2 linked regions of the Astyanax mexicanus genome follow. The protein of the gene in region 1 purifies or fractionates together with the protein of each later gene. This does not show direct contact. Links are inferred from orthologs where the notes say so. Each region holds a gene or a part of one and is shown on either strand. Other genes may lie near its edges. The genes, in order: casp2 and pidd1.

What was found.
Region 2: the proteins of casp2 (region 1) and pidd1 purify together in Homo sapiens (affinity purification with western blotting; 5 studies listed by BioGRID and IntAct, with this or other methods). This does not show direct contact. The link is inferred for Astyanax mexicanus from reciprocal best matches to the Homo sapiens genes CASP2 and PIDD1.

Annotation. Positions count from the first base shown.
Region 1 is NC_064413.1:38,957,777-38,965,499, forward strand, and holds the start of casp2 (caspase-2), read left to right. Parts: upstream 1-4,495; 5' UTR 4,496-5,163; intron 5,164-6,574; exon of another isoform or gene 6,575-6,577; 5' UTR 6,578-6,581; coding exon 6,582-6,734; intron 6,735-6,973; coding exon 6,974-7,123; intron 7,124-7,230; coding exon 7,231-7,308; intron 7,309-7,723. Other genes in the region: m6pr (cation-dependent mannose-6-phosphate receptor), read left to right, coding at 436-558. UniProt on the Homo sapiens protein: Is a regulator of the cascade of caspases responsible for apoptosis execution. Might function by either activating some proteins required for cell death or inactivating proteins necessary for cell survival.
Region 2 is NC_064409.1:47,560,373-47,568,556, reverse strand, and holds the start of pidd1 (p53-induced death domain-containing protein 1), read left to right. Parts: upstream 1-4,911; 5' UTR 4,912-5,104; intron 5,105-7,551; 5' UTR 7,552-7,763; coding exon 7,764-8,184. UniProt on the Homo sapiens protein: Component of the DNA damage/stress response pathway that functions downstream of p53/TP53 and can either promote cell survival or apoptosis.

The sequences.
Region 1 (7,723 bases):
TAAGTGGTCAGCTTGTGTAAAGCAATGGTGTTTCACTTATTATCAGTTTGTGTGGGCGTGATTGGAAATTCTAAAATGTGATATACGAGGTGTGTCTGAAAAAACAGCACTGTGCTGCTCTCCCAGAACTGTCTGCTATGTTTGCACTCCCAAACGGCGTAATGGATCTTGTCAGTGTGGCACAGAGATTTCAGCCTCTGTTACCTGGGCCACTGCTCATCCTGCCTTGTGTCTCTGAACTGTTTATCCATGATAACCATGATCCACCTCGCTGTAGTGAATGAAAACCTTTTCTCAACTATTTTGCTGTTTTCTTTTCTGCCAAAATGTCCTTACTGTGCATAAGTTTTGCAAAACATTGAATGAACAGCTTGTTTCTGTCTGTCTGACTGAAATGCATTAAATATTAATTGAGTTTGTTGTTCTCTTTCACAGGATGGATGTGACTTTGTATGCCGATCCCGTGGCAGGAGAGAGGAGTCGCCTGCTTACAGGGGTGTATCTACTGAACCATTAGAGGAGCCAGAGGAAAGGGATGACCACTTGCTTCCAATGTGACCTTGACAATCTGATCTAGTCAGGTAGAAATAGCCTAGGTTTGACTAAGTTTTGGCAGGGGATGTTAGGTATGTGTCAGACAAAACAAAATGACTTATCTTTAAGCATTCCTTATACTGCTCTATAAATCCCTTACAGACAGATGAATTTCAAATTACAATATCAGCTCAGAAAAGTTGGTTTCTCAAAATAAATTTTTATACATTCACAGTGTGAATGTACAGCCTGTGCTTAGATTATTTTCTAAGTAGGGTTTTGTTTATTGATTTTTCTTCATTCAGTTTAGCTCCAAAGAACATACAAATTATACATTTACTAGTGGCCTAAGTGGTTTTATTTAAGTACAGTAATGCATTTGATATTTATAATGAACTTATTGGGTCCTAGTACTGCCCCACTAGGTTTTCTTTGTTGTCTCATTAGGGGGTACCTCAGATCATTTGTTTTTTTTTTCTGTGTTCTGCTAAGGGAAAGATACATTTTACAAAGATTGTTTTAGGTTAAGGTTACTTTAGCATTCTGTTACTGCAACAATTAGAATGCAAATGCTAAACAGAAGCACAGAAATGGTTTGTTTTGCATTCAGCCTATTAGACCATATATATATATATATAGTTAAGTATAATGTTCTGTAGTATCAATGACTTGTTGTTATAAATGTTTTTGTAAGAATAACTCATTGTGGAGTGGAAGAGGGAATTAAATTTTGTTTGCTGAAGAATATATAGGTACTTTCGCTATAAACCTAAAGAAATATTTAATGATGGATACTGTATGCAGTAAACGGTGAACATTAATAAAAATGTGATAAGTATAATAGACTTTTTTTTCCATAAATGCATTTCAGCTAGTCTTGCGCTAAACAGCACGGTTAGTGAATGTTTCAGATAGACTGGCCTGTATGCTGATTGCAGTTGGTGAGTGAATATCTATTTAGTTTTGTTGAGTTCAGCTGCTGTCACTATTTAAAGGAAAACATGGTATCTGCTTAATGCACTGCAACTTGCGTCTGCACTGTGTTTATCACAGATGCACAGTGATAAACAATTTTTTTTGTTTATTTTTATTGTTTAGACTGGATATGAACTAATGGAAAATGCACTTCCAAAGTTGTTTGACAATTCATTTACATTTGCACTTGAAACAGACCTCTTTATGGGAGCTTCCTGAAACCCTGATGATATATTAATGGGAGTGTGACCAAAAAATCACCAATGTAGTTTTACATTGTCCAGAACAGGGATAACATCTTCTTCTGGACTAAAGTGTTCTTAGTAATGGTTAATTGTGAATTAAAAGCTGTGTAAACTGTGATGAATATGATCAGATAATATAATATATATAATATAATCAGATTAAGAAAAATAAACATTCAGGCATCCACAGGGTCCTTTGGGGTGTTATGGGGTCTATATAGAACTACTGCAGTTGGTAAAAGAAAATCTTATAAAACCCTTTAGTTTACCCAATGGTAAGGACTACACATATCAGCCATAACATTAACACCACATGCCTATTATTGAGTAGGTTTCCCTCTGTACTGCAACAACAAATCAGAATCTCATAATTGGTGTTCTGTGGTTGGGTGGGTCCTTCATCAATGATCATCAGTGAGCTTTAGGTGCTCATGACCCTGCCGCCATTTCACTGGTTGTCCACCATTTCACTGCTACCAGAATAAGCCCACAAGCCCTGTCTGTTGATTTTAAGTTTTGACCCAGTTATCCAGCCATCAAAATGCTGCTCTTGTAATAATGGCTATAATCTAAATATTTGCCCCTTTTTGTAGTCAACACATCAACTTTAAGAAGGACTAATCACATGCTGCCTAATATATCCCACCCTTGACAGATGCCACTATAGATGAAGGTAATATATGTTTACCTGTAAGTGGTGTTAATGTTCTGGCTGACTAGTGTATGTATGTGTATCAGTTCCCAACCCTTTTCCTGGAGGACCCTGAGCCCTGCTTTTCCTTCACCTATTTTCCTATTCCAGTACAACTGATCTAACTAATTTGTAAAATATCAAACCCTTCCTGAGTTAACATGCTGTTGCATTAAATGCTGCAAAATGTTCTCCAGAACCAGGACTGGGAATTGTACATGATTACAAACTACTGGAGCTTAGCTTTGGACCCTACTTCCTTCTGTGCTTACTACTGTGCTTAACCACAGAAATTACTTTTTGACATTTGAAAAAGTTGGCGCTCAAATCAGAGTTAAGACAGATATGAACTTCAGTTCTGTCAGCTCCGACTATATTTGCCCTTTCCTTTTGCTGTTTATTTTGTGTGGAAATAACAAGCTTTGTTTTTTCTTGTGATATGAAAATAGAAATAAATGCTTTTGATTGTTATCTGCTGTTTATGTGTCATTTATTAGTCTACCAACAGTTACAACCCAGGCAGTTTACTCCAGACTTTTTAGGGTATGTTCACACAGCAGGTAAAGTGTCCCAGATCCAAGGTTTTAATTTTGATTGTCTACTCTATCTTTTTAGTGTGACCTAAATCTGACATTAAATCTGACATTTGTCGCCACACACACACTTCAAGTGTCAGTTTTATCCTTGCCAGAATCACAGGGGTTATAGTGTTCATGCTCACTGAAGAAAAAACACATTATGTGACCTTGAATATTGATTTGTCTTCGGTTTCTGTTTTCATTTTTTCTTTGATTCTGAGGCCTCATCCTGTGACCGCATTTGGCTATTTCATTAGAAACTTCAAACCTCATTATATATTTGGAACAGAGACATTAGATGCACTAGATTCTATTCTGGTTGTTCTGACAGTCACATTGCTGCGAGTATAATTTATAATACATAGGATATGAAAAGTGGATATATTGAGGCAATGTCAATAAATATAAAAAAAATAATAATAATTTTGCAAGAACAGATAACGGTACAGTAGGTGCTACTCTTTAATCATACATTATATATATTTTTTTGCAAAATAAACTCTTCATATATTAAAGCATAAAATGCAATTCTGCATTTTCTTTCTAACCCTATTTATTTATGTCCAGCTTCGGAGTGCTACCATGTGGGAAGTCCTCTTCATCTGGACCAGAGTATGTTCAAATATGAGTTACACTGCAAAGGAACATTCTGAAAGGAGTTTTTGGTTATGTCAGCAAGGCTGAACACAACCACACTGGAAAACAGTGGGCTAAAGGGAATCCCCTCTTTATTATCAGTGATTTCATCACAAGCTTATTATAACATTATTAAAATCAAAGGAACACAGAATTCAGATTGTTTATATTTACCCTTCCACCTTAAATGCTGCTGTGGCAACACACAGGTCTCAGGCTAAATATATTTTTTATGGGCTTTGAATTTAACATCTTCCGCTTTTAAGGTGGAACAGACCATTCATATAAGAATGGTGTAGTATTATGTGGACTGTTTGTAATTCCTGCACAGCAAAAGTGATAATGTTTAAAACTCCTAAAGTCTTTTTGTGTGAATTTTTTACACTGCAGGACTATACATGTTATTGTGTGGTATGGGCTACATTAGCTGGTGTAATTTAATTTTTATTCTGCAGGACACTTTGTGTGAATTTTACAATGTTTATATTGTTTATGACCCCTGACTATAAAGGTTATTGTGTGGTATGTGCTACATTAGCTGTTGTAATTTAATTTTTACACTGCAGGACACTGTGTGTGAATTTTACAATGTTTATATTGTTTATGACCCCTGACTATAAAGGTTATTGTGTGATATGGGCTACATTAGCTGGTGTAGTTGAATTTTTACTCTGCAGGACACTTTGTGTGATTTTTTTCAATATTCATTTGGTAATTGTAATTGTATAGTACCCTGTACCCCGTCTCTGTAGTTTTGCTACATCTATTGAAAAGGTCGGACTGTACCAGTGCGCGGCGGTAACACCACACTGTACAGCGCGTCCACCCACAAGAAGAAGCAGCAGCAGCTCCTCATTCGCTGTTTGTTGGCGCGGAAGTTACTTGTGGAGAGCTCTGGGGCTGTCAATTATTCTTTTAAATTCTCGTTTTCTCCCTGTACTCCTGGTAAAAACGCCTGGGGACGGAGCTGTATGAATTATATTAATTCACAGGGCTGCAGACAGGATTTGGTGACTAGTTGTACGGGACTGTATGGCGTTATTAAGCCGAGCTGGTCGTTATGTTTTTAGCCTGGTTAGCTTAACTAGCTAGTTAACGCTAGCTGCTCTTTTAATCAGTCATACAGGGGCTAACTGCCAAGCGTGTGGGATAGTTAGCTAGCTAACATAGCTGGTAAACTAGTTAACTAACTTAGTTAGCCAGACAGTTTATTACAAAATTGAAACAGTCTACTGCCGATTGTGTGCCAGTTTCTCTACTCTTAATTTGTTATAATTTGGCTAGACTGTGCTGTAATATTATAAGCTAGCTAACCTAGTTAGTTCAGTTATCTTATTTAGGTAACGCTGTTGAGCTGAGTTAGCTAGATATATCCAGTCTGCTGCAGAAGACTGGGAAAACTGTTGGTGAAGTGTTGAGAGCTCCTCTGTCTGTAGGTCAACATTCAGCTGAAGTTTGAAGACAGCAACTTAATCTGGAAGTCCACTAGGAAACACCGACAACTGTAAGTTTGTTTAACTGCATAAGCGAGCTAGCTTTGTCATGCTAAAAAAAAACATTTTTAACTTTTCAACACCTGGATAAAACTTGTGAAATCATCTATTTTTAGTAAGTTATATATATATTATTTTTCTTTCTTGTGAAATGTTTGCTAAGCTAATAGCCTTATAGATAGATAGCTAACTTTACAGGCATTGTTCCTCTTTGTTGTTGTTGGATAACCTAGCGTATTAGCAATATAACTTCTTGCAAAAAGCATCACAACCAGCAGGCCTCTAGCTATAGATACTGTTAGCCAGTTAGGTAACTTCACAGTTCATAAAGCAATTTCAAACATTTCACATAGTAATATTTTGTAAATAATGTGCTTCATGTAGTTCATAAATACAGCTAAAATAAGTTTTCATTGGTCATGTGTCTGTTATGTACTTTTTTCTACCATATATATCATCTAAATACCGTTGCATACACAAGACCTTGCTGTTGTTGGGCTGATAAAATGTAGTCTGATCATTATCCAAGGCACAGTTAAAGACAAACACTTTCTGGCAAAACTAGTTAGTATGGATGCATCACAATATTCACAAAACCACATTTATTTGTCTTCATAAGAGCAAAGTTTTGGTGATTTGATCAAATTTCAGCCGCCTGGGCTGTTGACGTACAGTGTTCAGTGGGTAATTTAATTTATGCAATATATATGTCGAATTGTTTCATTATGTTTGTTTTTATTTACTTAATAATTTCATACATTCAGTTGTACCATGTTTGTCTTTTTATTAAACACACTTAGTTAACATCCACAGTGTAGGCTAGGCAAAAGTAAGGTAACTACTTATGTAATAACATAGGTATTCTTCTGTAGCATCAGTCACTTTCTTTGAAATGTTTCTTGAAGCTGCAAATAAGATTTCCTCAACTTTGGAATTCCTGCCTGCAAATGCGTTTCAGTTCATCAGTAATACTGGAACATATTGCATGCAGAGCCCTCTTTAGTTCATATCACAGAATTTTGGTAGAGTTAGAATCAGGACTTTGTCATTCCAAAACATAAATTCTAATTCTCAAGTATTTTTTAGTTTATGTATTTTTTGTACGCTTTTGTTTTATTGCAACTAAATACATAAAATATAATTACATTAGAAAAAACGTTCTTCATATTTACACATGCCCTGTGAGGCTTTGGGCCCTAAACAAATACATATGATGTTTTTAGCAATAAATTGCCTGATTTGAAAATTAATTAAATTAAATAAATAACCTACATTAAATAAATAACATAAATTAAATAAATAACAAAAAATCATTGAAGATGTTCTTGAATTGTGATGCTCTGTTACTTTTGTTCTGCTGCAGTCTAACATCTCATGTTGTTTTGTTCTCTCATGCACATATATATCTACACATGCGAACAGCAGCACCATGCTTGTGGAATGTGGAATGAAAGAGCGAGATAAGCTGGCACTGAAGAAGAACTCTGTGGCACTATGTAAAGAAATGGTGGTGGATGAACTACTTATCCAGTTTTTGCAGGCAGAGGATGTTCTCACAGAGGGCATGGCTGAAACCATTCTGGTAATAAGCATGTAACTAATGGTGCTGAATATGTCATATTGTGTTAGGAACTGTTTTATAGGAGCAAATAGTTACTATTCATTCAAAACAGTGTTTATTGTTTTGTGCTTTATCAAAGAAATTCAACTGCAGTTATTTTCATTGCTTTTTCAGTATAGTCACTTGTTTGACAGGGCAATATATCTGTTGACTGCACTGTAGTAGTAGTGTTTGACCTTGTCATGACTTGAATCTTGCAGGCGGAGCCTACGTCCCATAAACGAAGCTGGCGTTTGCTGTCACTGCTGCCTAAGCGAGGCCCCCAGGCCTTCAACAGCTTCTGCACGGCTCTTAAAGAGACAGAGCAGCAGCACCTCTGCACCCTGCTCATTAGGTTCAGGGAACGAGAGGTGAGTAAATGGCACCCACTGTAACAGGCTTCTCACTGGTTTACAGAGTTAGCAGTGCCAGAAGTAAAAGTTGTCATAACAGGAGTGTTGCACATGTGTGGTTGCAGAACAAACCCACAGAGATTGAGGGAGAAATGTCATTGGCACAGGACAACACACCTGCTAAGGACAGGGGAAACCAGGAGGTGAGGGTTATAGACACCTAAAAACCCACCCAAAGATGTAGAATTTAAGGAATTAAGTTCAGGAATAGTAAAGGAAGTCATGAATAGAAATAGGAAGTAAATATGATCTAGCTGGTGAATACGATCACATCTTATTGTAGTTTGACAAAGAGTTAAGTCAAACTAGTACTGCATTTGCCCAAATTGAGCAATTGGAATTACCATTGGGACACATCAATGCTTAGTTCTGTAGTTGGTATATAAAAAGGATCTGGAATGTTAGCAGAAAATTTCAGATCTAGATACTGTTGGTTGTTCGAGACCCTATAGTGATCTAATTGTTCCACAACGGGTGCAATTGGTCCAAACTGTATTTTTGGCATGTGCGACACAGATATATTGTCTGTGTAAACGACAAAAAGCACACTCAGTCTTA
Region 2 (8,184 bases), on another chromosome or scaffold:
ACATCACCAAGTGCAATGCAAGTGTTGGATGCTGTGGTGCAAAGCACGCCACCCCTGGACTCCAGATCAGTGGAGATGTGTTCTCTGGAGTGACAAGTCACCCTTCTCTGTCTGGCAATCTGATGGATGAGTGTAGGTATGGCGGTTGCCAGGAGAACAGTATTGTCTGACTGCATTGGGCCAAGTATAAAGTTTGGTGGAGGGAGATTATGGTACTCGGCCCATTAGTTCCAGTACAGGACACTATAAACAGTTTAGGGATGGCCCTTTCTTATTCCAACTTAACTGGCCTGCACATAGTACTAATGGAATGTCACTCAAGTTTATATGTGTGTAACGGCATACGAGTGAATACTTTTGGCAACATAGTGTATCTCCATTTTCTCAGTATCTTTTTTAGGTAATGTGGATCTGGCAGTAGTTCTTAACATTGTGTACTACACATTGTTGATAAAAATTAAATAAAAATGCTTAAAAATGACTTAAAATAAACACTAAATAAATGACATGGACTTCCACTGAAAGACAAAAAGGTTTTTTTCTCTACTGTAAAGTAAGGAGATCTGATGTTTTGATACAATACTGATGACATATTCACTATATGACTATAATACAATTTTGCTATGGTGTTGTTGCTGGTATAGTGTATATGCTGATGTATTTCGAAACACAAGTGATATTTTCTAAGAATGTGTTGTAAATGTGCTCTGACAAAAATATTACTATCCTTTGACCTCCTTCTAGTAGGCCACATCTTGCCAGATGTGTCTCGAGGAAAAGGTTTTACCAAGTATATTTGAGAGGTCAATCAATGGGCATCATAAGGGGGTAAGGCATTTTAGCTCATTTACTCTATATCTCACTTTAAGTTAAACACATTTCTCACATATGTAATCTGCAGTAGTTTTGTTTTTCTTCTCTTGTGGACCACCTGATTATGATTAATAGTCTTGCTTTTCATTTTCCATGTCAGGCACACCCAGTTCATAATGCTATCATCAGACAGCTCCAGTGAAAATAAAATTCTTTGGATTCTTAGGTGATGATAACTGCATCCGCTGCTGCTTCTTCTCTTCCCCCAGAAGAAAAGTAACGGTATCAGGAAAATATGCTGTCAGTCTCTGGGGCAGGACGAATCTCTGAGCACAGCAGCTGGGGCATGCAAACGGAACAAAACAATAACACAACATGTCCAGGCAAGGAATAATAACAACCGAAACACCAGCAGTTATGTGCAGTAATGTCTGAATGATCCTGTGTTTCTAATATTACTCTTTTCCTCTTGGACTACATGGCACTGCCACTGGTGATTCATCGCCAATAACTCTTATGATCTAAGACAGGTTCTAAATATGGTTCTAAGCTGGAGTTGGGAGAATGGTGTGTTTCTGAGCGCAAAAGTAGGCTAATCTGAGACTACATTACATCATAGGGATTTTCTTTTCAAAAGGGTTTTTAATCATATTAGTCTTATAAGAGGAATCACTGAACAGCACCCAGTTACAATAGGACTTGACTAATGACCTACAATAGGCTGCCTTGGCAAATGACGCCGTTTAGAAGTTTACGTAATATCATTATTTTACATTATTATATATGATTATATGGTAGTAACATAACACAGGAAGATGATACATCCTGAGCCTCAGCCAGGATGTATTATTGTTCACTCAACAAACAACACCAACAACAATTTAATACTGGCTTAACAATGATCCAAAAGCACAGAATAACTCTTGTGTTCATGGTCCATTACTTTAGCTGCTGATAAGTATTTAGCTATTGTCATTAGTTATTAGCATTTTATTCCAATAAAAGGCCAGATTACTCAGCTTCAATTCAGACATGACAAAAGTAATTTGATTCTTTTAAAAAAGTAATTCAGTTCTTTTGCAAATGTAAAATCAAAAATATTCAAATCTTTTTTTAAAGGTGATTTGAATCACTGTTTAAAAAACATTCTGGTCTTTCCATTGATGCAAATATTTTTATTTGATTATTTTTTTATATTTATTCCTTTTAATTTGATATTTAATATGGCATCTCAGGATAATAATCTCGAGATAATTAAATACATAAAAAATACAATAAAAAAATCTCGGCTGCATTACCTGCTCTAGCATTTAGATGTCATCAAAACACTATTCAGTATAATCAATTTTTTAAACTGGGTCCCCAAGGCAAAGTGGTCCCTAGAGAAGAGGGTCATTTAAAATGTGTTTTAAAGGAGCAATTTGTAGAAAATTATGGAGGACCAAATCTGCCAAAATAAATAAATAAATAAAATCGTATGTAAATCACTTAATAAAAGTAATGTGGTGATTAAAACTGTAAAGAATAATTGTAAATAATATAAAAATAAATACATATACCTAAAAATAAATATCTTAATAAATTGTTTTTTATTCATGTTTATGTTTATTTATTTACATAATTTCTGCATTCATTCATTTCCTGGATAATTTATTTCTGTATTCATATATTCGGTATACTCATAATCAGACACCACAAGTCTGCTTCTCCATTGTCACTGATTGCAGGTCACGTTAGCACCTGTAGCATAACATGTTCATATGAAATATCGATATAAAATCACCTGTAGTCAAGTGATATTTCATCTATATGTCCTGTGGGCGTGTTACAGTAGCATTTTTTACAGTAAAAAATAAATAAAAATGTGTCTCTAAAGACTACAAGTGATTTTAGATTGATCGCTGCAGCGATTCCTGCTATTTTCAGCAAATTTCCTCGGAGAAAGGGAAAAGTTGGGTGTTTTGAGAAAATCTAGTGTTTGTAGTTTGTTCTCTGTTCCTCTGTCATTTGAAAGATATCATTTGAGAGAGTTTAGGAGGTTGCATGCGAGCAAGAGAACGTCCGAAACGCGAATCTCCGCTTAATGTCGAACAATAAATTAACTTTACCAAGCTGTTAATTTAATGCCATATAACCAAGTGTTTACCTGCGTTAATCCTGTTATTTACAAATATTTTAAAACATTTTTTTTTACCAATATTCACAAAATATCATGTACTGAAAATTTCAAAGGTATATTAGGCAAGCTGTAAGCATAAGTCTTCCTAAAATCTGACTTTCTGTAATTTGCTTCCGCACAGTCACTGGTTGTTTACCAATAAAAGGAAAAAAAAAAAAAAACACATATACTTGGGGGTTAGATCTGAATATTGAAGCTCAGACTGGACTGAGATGTTCAAGTCTGAACACAACCTGCAGATTATCCTCAATTTATTTCACCAATTCTCACTCATTCTTATTATTTTCTAACCAATTCTCACTATTATCTTAATACTTTTTATTCATTTTTGTCATTTCTCTCTATGTCTTTTTCAGGGTATTTTTCAGAGGAGGAGCTGCTAGACTACCTGGACTGACTGGATGAGCACCACCCTGACATTGTTGTTTTCAGTACCCTGGCTTTGGTGTTCCTCTGTCCATCCTTACCATTCCAAGGACCGGATGGCTTTTATCAGTGCAAATAATGTGAGAAGACTCCAGGAGCAAATAGTAAATAGTACTCAGGCAGAGAGCATAAAACGTACACATCAAGTTAAAATCAATAAGTTAGTGAACACGGAGCTTACTTTTTCATGTAAATCAGCTTTATCAACTAATCAACTTTAAAATGCACACAAACTTTTTGTCATTTTAAAATTAGAATTAAATATTTTAGTTAATTAGCATTAAAAATCCATATTTAATTTTAGAATATCTTGATGTCCTGATTTCCTCTTGCCACCATTGTAAATAGGCCTCACTGATTACAGTAATCTTGGACACTAAGGCCTGTATAACACTCACTTTAGCAGCCTTAAAAAACAGAAAAGATCATTATTTGTGAATATAAAAAAAAAAAAAATATATATATATATATATATATATATATATATATATATATATATATATATATTATTTATATATATTTATATATATATATATTTGTAATGTTAAGTTATTATAGTTAGTGTCTCACTGCTGCATTTTGGTTAAAACTGATGAAAGTTAACATGGTCTGTAAACATTCAAGCTCATTGAGTACAATAATAAAATATATTTGTTACTGTGTTCTGGTAACCCAGGACACTATCAGCGTTTTTTCCCACGTAGCTTGTTTTTAACACCGCAAAAACGCACACTACAGTCGCCTGAATGGCGAAAGAGCAATAGGTGCAGTTAGTGGCTAATGCTGCTGCACCCAGCCTTAGTGATGGAGGAAGTTTACTGAAAACTCACCCTTATATTGCTGTCTATAGTGCTGAGTGGCTTTACTGTTTCTGACTGGTAGAATTCATAAATAAGGTGCATCATTTTTTGGGACAATTAAAGGATTTTAAGATTTGCCTTGTAGTCCGAAAAATACGTGTTTCACACTAGTAGCTGGTTAGTATTTTTGGTTACTGAAGTTAAAGGAGAACTCCGGTGTAAAATTGGTCATTATCAGTACAGTGACGGTGGCGCCCGGTGATTAGCTAACGCTACGAGTTGTAAACAGTGGTTTTTAATAAGCTTCTTGAACACTTTTAATGTTATTAATGCCTCATTTTGTATGTCAGGGCTCTCTGGGTACTACCAATGAGGTGTGGAGCTACTTTTAGACAGGATAACGGTGTAAAGAGCAATTAATCAGGGCAAAATATGCCCCGATACTGCCGTGCTGGGCATAAAGCACAAAATTACTGAAATATCAGAAAGCTGTAGGAGAATAGAGGTGTGCTATTCAACAAAGGTTAGTAAGTTAAGTTACTCTTTATCATGTTTTACTACACCATTTGCTTTAGTGGTCATTATGGAAGGTTCTTAAAACAATATTAAAACAACCTGTGTGTGTGTGTGTACTGTGTACTGTGTACTGTCTCTTTAAGGAGCTGTGTCCCGCCTCGTCCTGAAAGTTCCGCGGTGGTTATGATTCTGAGTGGCGGGTGAAATATGGGGAGCACTGTTTTGACAAGGAAGTAACTTAACTAATGTTAGTTTAACAGCCTATCTTCACCACGTTCAGCTTCATTTGGCAGATTAACGCGTCTTTGGGCTGATATATTTAACGCTATATTTACTGGAGGCGGAGAAAAACCCCTACAATCTCGGAGAGGTGAGTGTTTACCGGTTATTTACACAGCTAACCGGCTAAAGCTTAGCAGGAAAGTTTTCTATCTGAAAGCTGCTGGGAAGCTAACTCATCTAAACTAGCATGGGTTAACTGTGTTCAGCACAGGCCAGTGTGGGTGTGTGTTCTGCAGTTACCTAGCCAGTTAGCAGACTGGGCTGTTTAAAAACTTCTACACTCTCTGCTGTAACTAACTAACTTAAATGTGATTAATATTAACAGCCTACTGTCAGTGTATGACAGCTCTCCATCTAGCTAGCTGGTAAGCTTAGTTTGAAAACAAGGCAGTGATTAGTTGTCTATAATTAACAGTGTCACTGTAGGCCTGGGAAATGAGCAGAGGTGCTGTTTGAGTTAAAATAGAAATAAAGCTACCATTTTGACATCTGCTTGTCTTAAGGTAAATAATCTCTGGTATCATTCTTAGTTCAGCAGTCTTTTAACAGAATGTCATTCATTAGTCTGACAGTGCTGTCTAGTAAAATTATCATTAACACAAAACACTGAAGACAAAGAACCACGTTGTTGTATATAATTACCTGCAGACAAGCAGATGTTTTATTTACTTTACTTTACTTAATAAAAGCTGTTTTAAACACAGGTTCATAAATTAGTTTTTATTTACTGCTGTTCTATTTCATACTTTCTGCAGACATAGGGCATTCCCAAATTGTACCCTGTTGTATTGATGTTAAATTGTGTGATTGCACTGGATCCCTACTTCACTGTATGAAAGTGTTCACTGTATATTGATTGATGTGCTTGTGTAGTGCTACTTTTGTGTTGATATGATAAATGTTTATGCATACTGGGCCAGCAGTAACGACTTTTACTCCTTAAGGTTTTGCATTATGTGGAGTAAAAAGTACGATAAATCCTATTTTTTTTCACAATGTGAGTTTTCAGGATTAAATTAGAAGGGGTGCAGTAGCATTGTAAATAACAGAAAACCCAAACTTCATTACCTGCAGACACCAGCAGAGGGGGCTCTTCATCCTGCAGACTGTTATCACGTAACCTCACTAGTCTGAGGGAGAGTTCATCAGTGGGCGACATTGCTGTAAAGTACTATCACAATATTTTAGGCTATTTTTTTTAACAGTATTCTTGGCGCATTGATATATTTAAAGTATATATTACATCAACAAAATAAATATTAAAGTTTTATTTATAAATATTAGAGTATAAATATTAGAGTTAGGTGTGAAGAGACTCATCTCAGGAGACCAGACTGAAATGTTTACTATATAAATATTTGTTTTGGTTACATAAACCTCGCGAGACACATTCAACACCTGTCAAGGAATATCTCAAGGCAAGAGATATTGTCACACCCCTAATTAGTGTGTTTAATACTAGACTAACACAAATAAAGTAACAACAAAAACCTACCGCAAAACTAAAGTGCTGCATTTTTAGTGCGTGCATATAAACTGCAAACAAGCAATTAAAGTAAATACTGGAAATATTAAAACAATGCTAGACATAGTAACTCGCAAGAATATTGCGATATCACAATATACATTTTCTATCGTGTCAATATGTTTTGCTATATAATTGGGTACAATACAATATGACACACCCCTAGTATGCACATCAAACTACTTTATGGTCTGGGAATATGAGTGCTACAAAGTTCAGAAAGTTCAGTTTGTTTTTTAGAAAAACAAACCTAAATTATTAGGAAATTCATATAGGATCATATTTTTCAAATCAATATTAGAATTTCCATGAACATTAAGAAATTCAGATTGCAACATTACATTTTTGTCTGTTTCGTATACCCCTGGTAAAAAGTAAGATATTTGTCTTTTGATTTGATATTTGAGAGAATAAAAGGTAATTCAAAATTGACATACTTCAGTATTTAAGTATGGATACAAGCAAAAACAACTTAAGTTAAACTTCATTCTTTTATTAACTGCACTTACTGTGTTACTGTCCTTCACTGAAAATATAAAAATGTTTTTTAAATGTCCTTTAAAATGTGAACTGTTGAGCAACTGAGATTTGAGATTTATTCACAAGTCTTTCCTTTCTCCTTCACCAAAGGCAGCTTTAAAACTTATAAGGCCCACATTTGAAAAATACCCTTATCCTATGTAAGAGATTTGCTTTTAGTACAAGGTGTTGAATGGTACTTTCAGTATAGTGCACCATATGTGTAAAACCTATTTACGCTAAGAAGATTTTAATAGCTATGTTCACTGTGTGTGTATGTGTGTGGTCATGTACTGAGGCCATTGCAAATGTCTTGGAAAAAGAACTGAGAAAAAATAGTTTTCTAAAACGGGTGGGAGCTCTAATTGGTCCAGTAAGGAAACAAAAAAACATTTGAGAAGCCTCTTTCATTAGTTGCATGGCTACTAGTGTTTTCTTTTTTTTGTTTTTAACGCTTCTCAGTCTTTTCAATTTGCACCTCTCTACTGCAGAATGAGTGGCGTCTCACCCTCCATGCATGGGCTTGCCTGGGCATGGTCTTCTCAGCGTGGACCGGTTTGGTGATGTGATTGAGTGCCAGCTATGGAACTGGAGGCTGAGATGAGGTGTCACATTTATGTTGTGACACTTCTACTCTCTGCTCTCTCCTTTCTCATGCAAAGGATAAAGAACTGAAAGGAAAAAAAAGAAAGGAGAGAAAAGGATGGAGAGGGAAAGGATGGAGAGAGAGAAGACGTATGAAGAAGCCTTTACAGACCAGTATGCAGAGGATAAAGGGCGTGACGTGTCCACAGGAGAAGATCAGGGAAGAAGGGATTCTGAAAGGATTTTGGAAACAGTTGGAGTGATGACTGTGGAAACCAGGCCTGAAGACTTGAGGAGTAGGAATACTGTCCAGTCACTGGAGGTGGAGAGTAGACCTGCTTGCAGTGCAGGTCAATATACAAATGAAGTGGAAGAACTGGGAAATGATGCCAAACTGAAGACGGAACTTTTAGCATCAATACAAAAAGCTCAGCGAATGCAGGCGGAGGATATGAACACAGCTGGAAATGGAGAAAGCTTTCTTTTCCTTCTCTCTGCTCCTTCTACCTCTTCTTCCTCATCAAGTCCTTTGCCCTCCA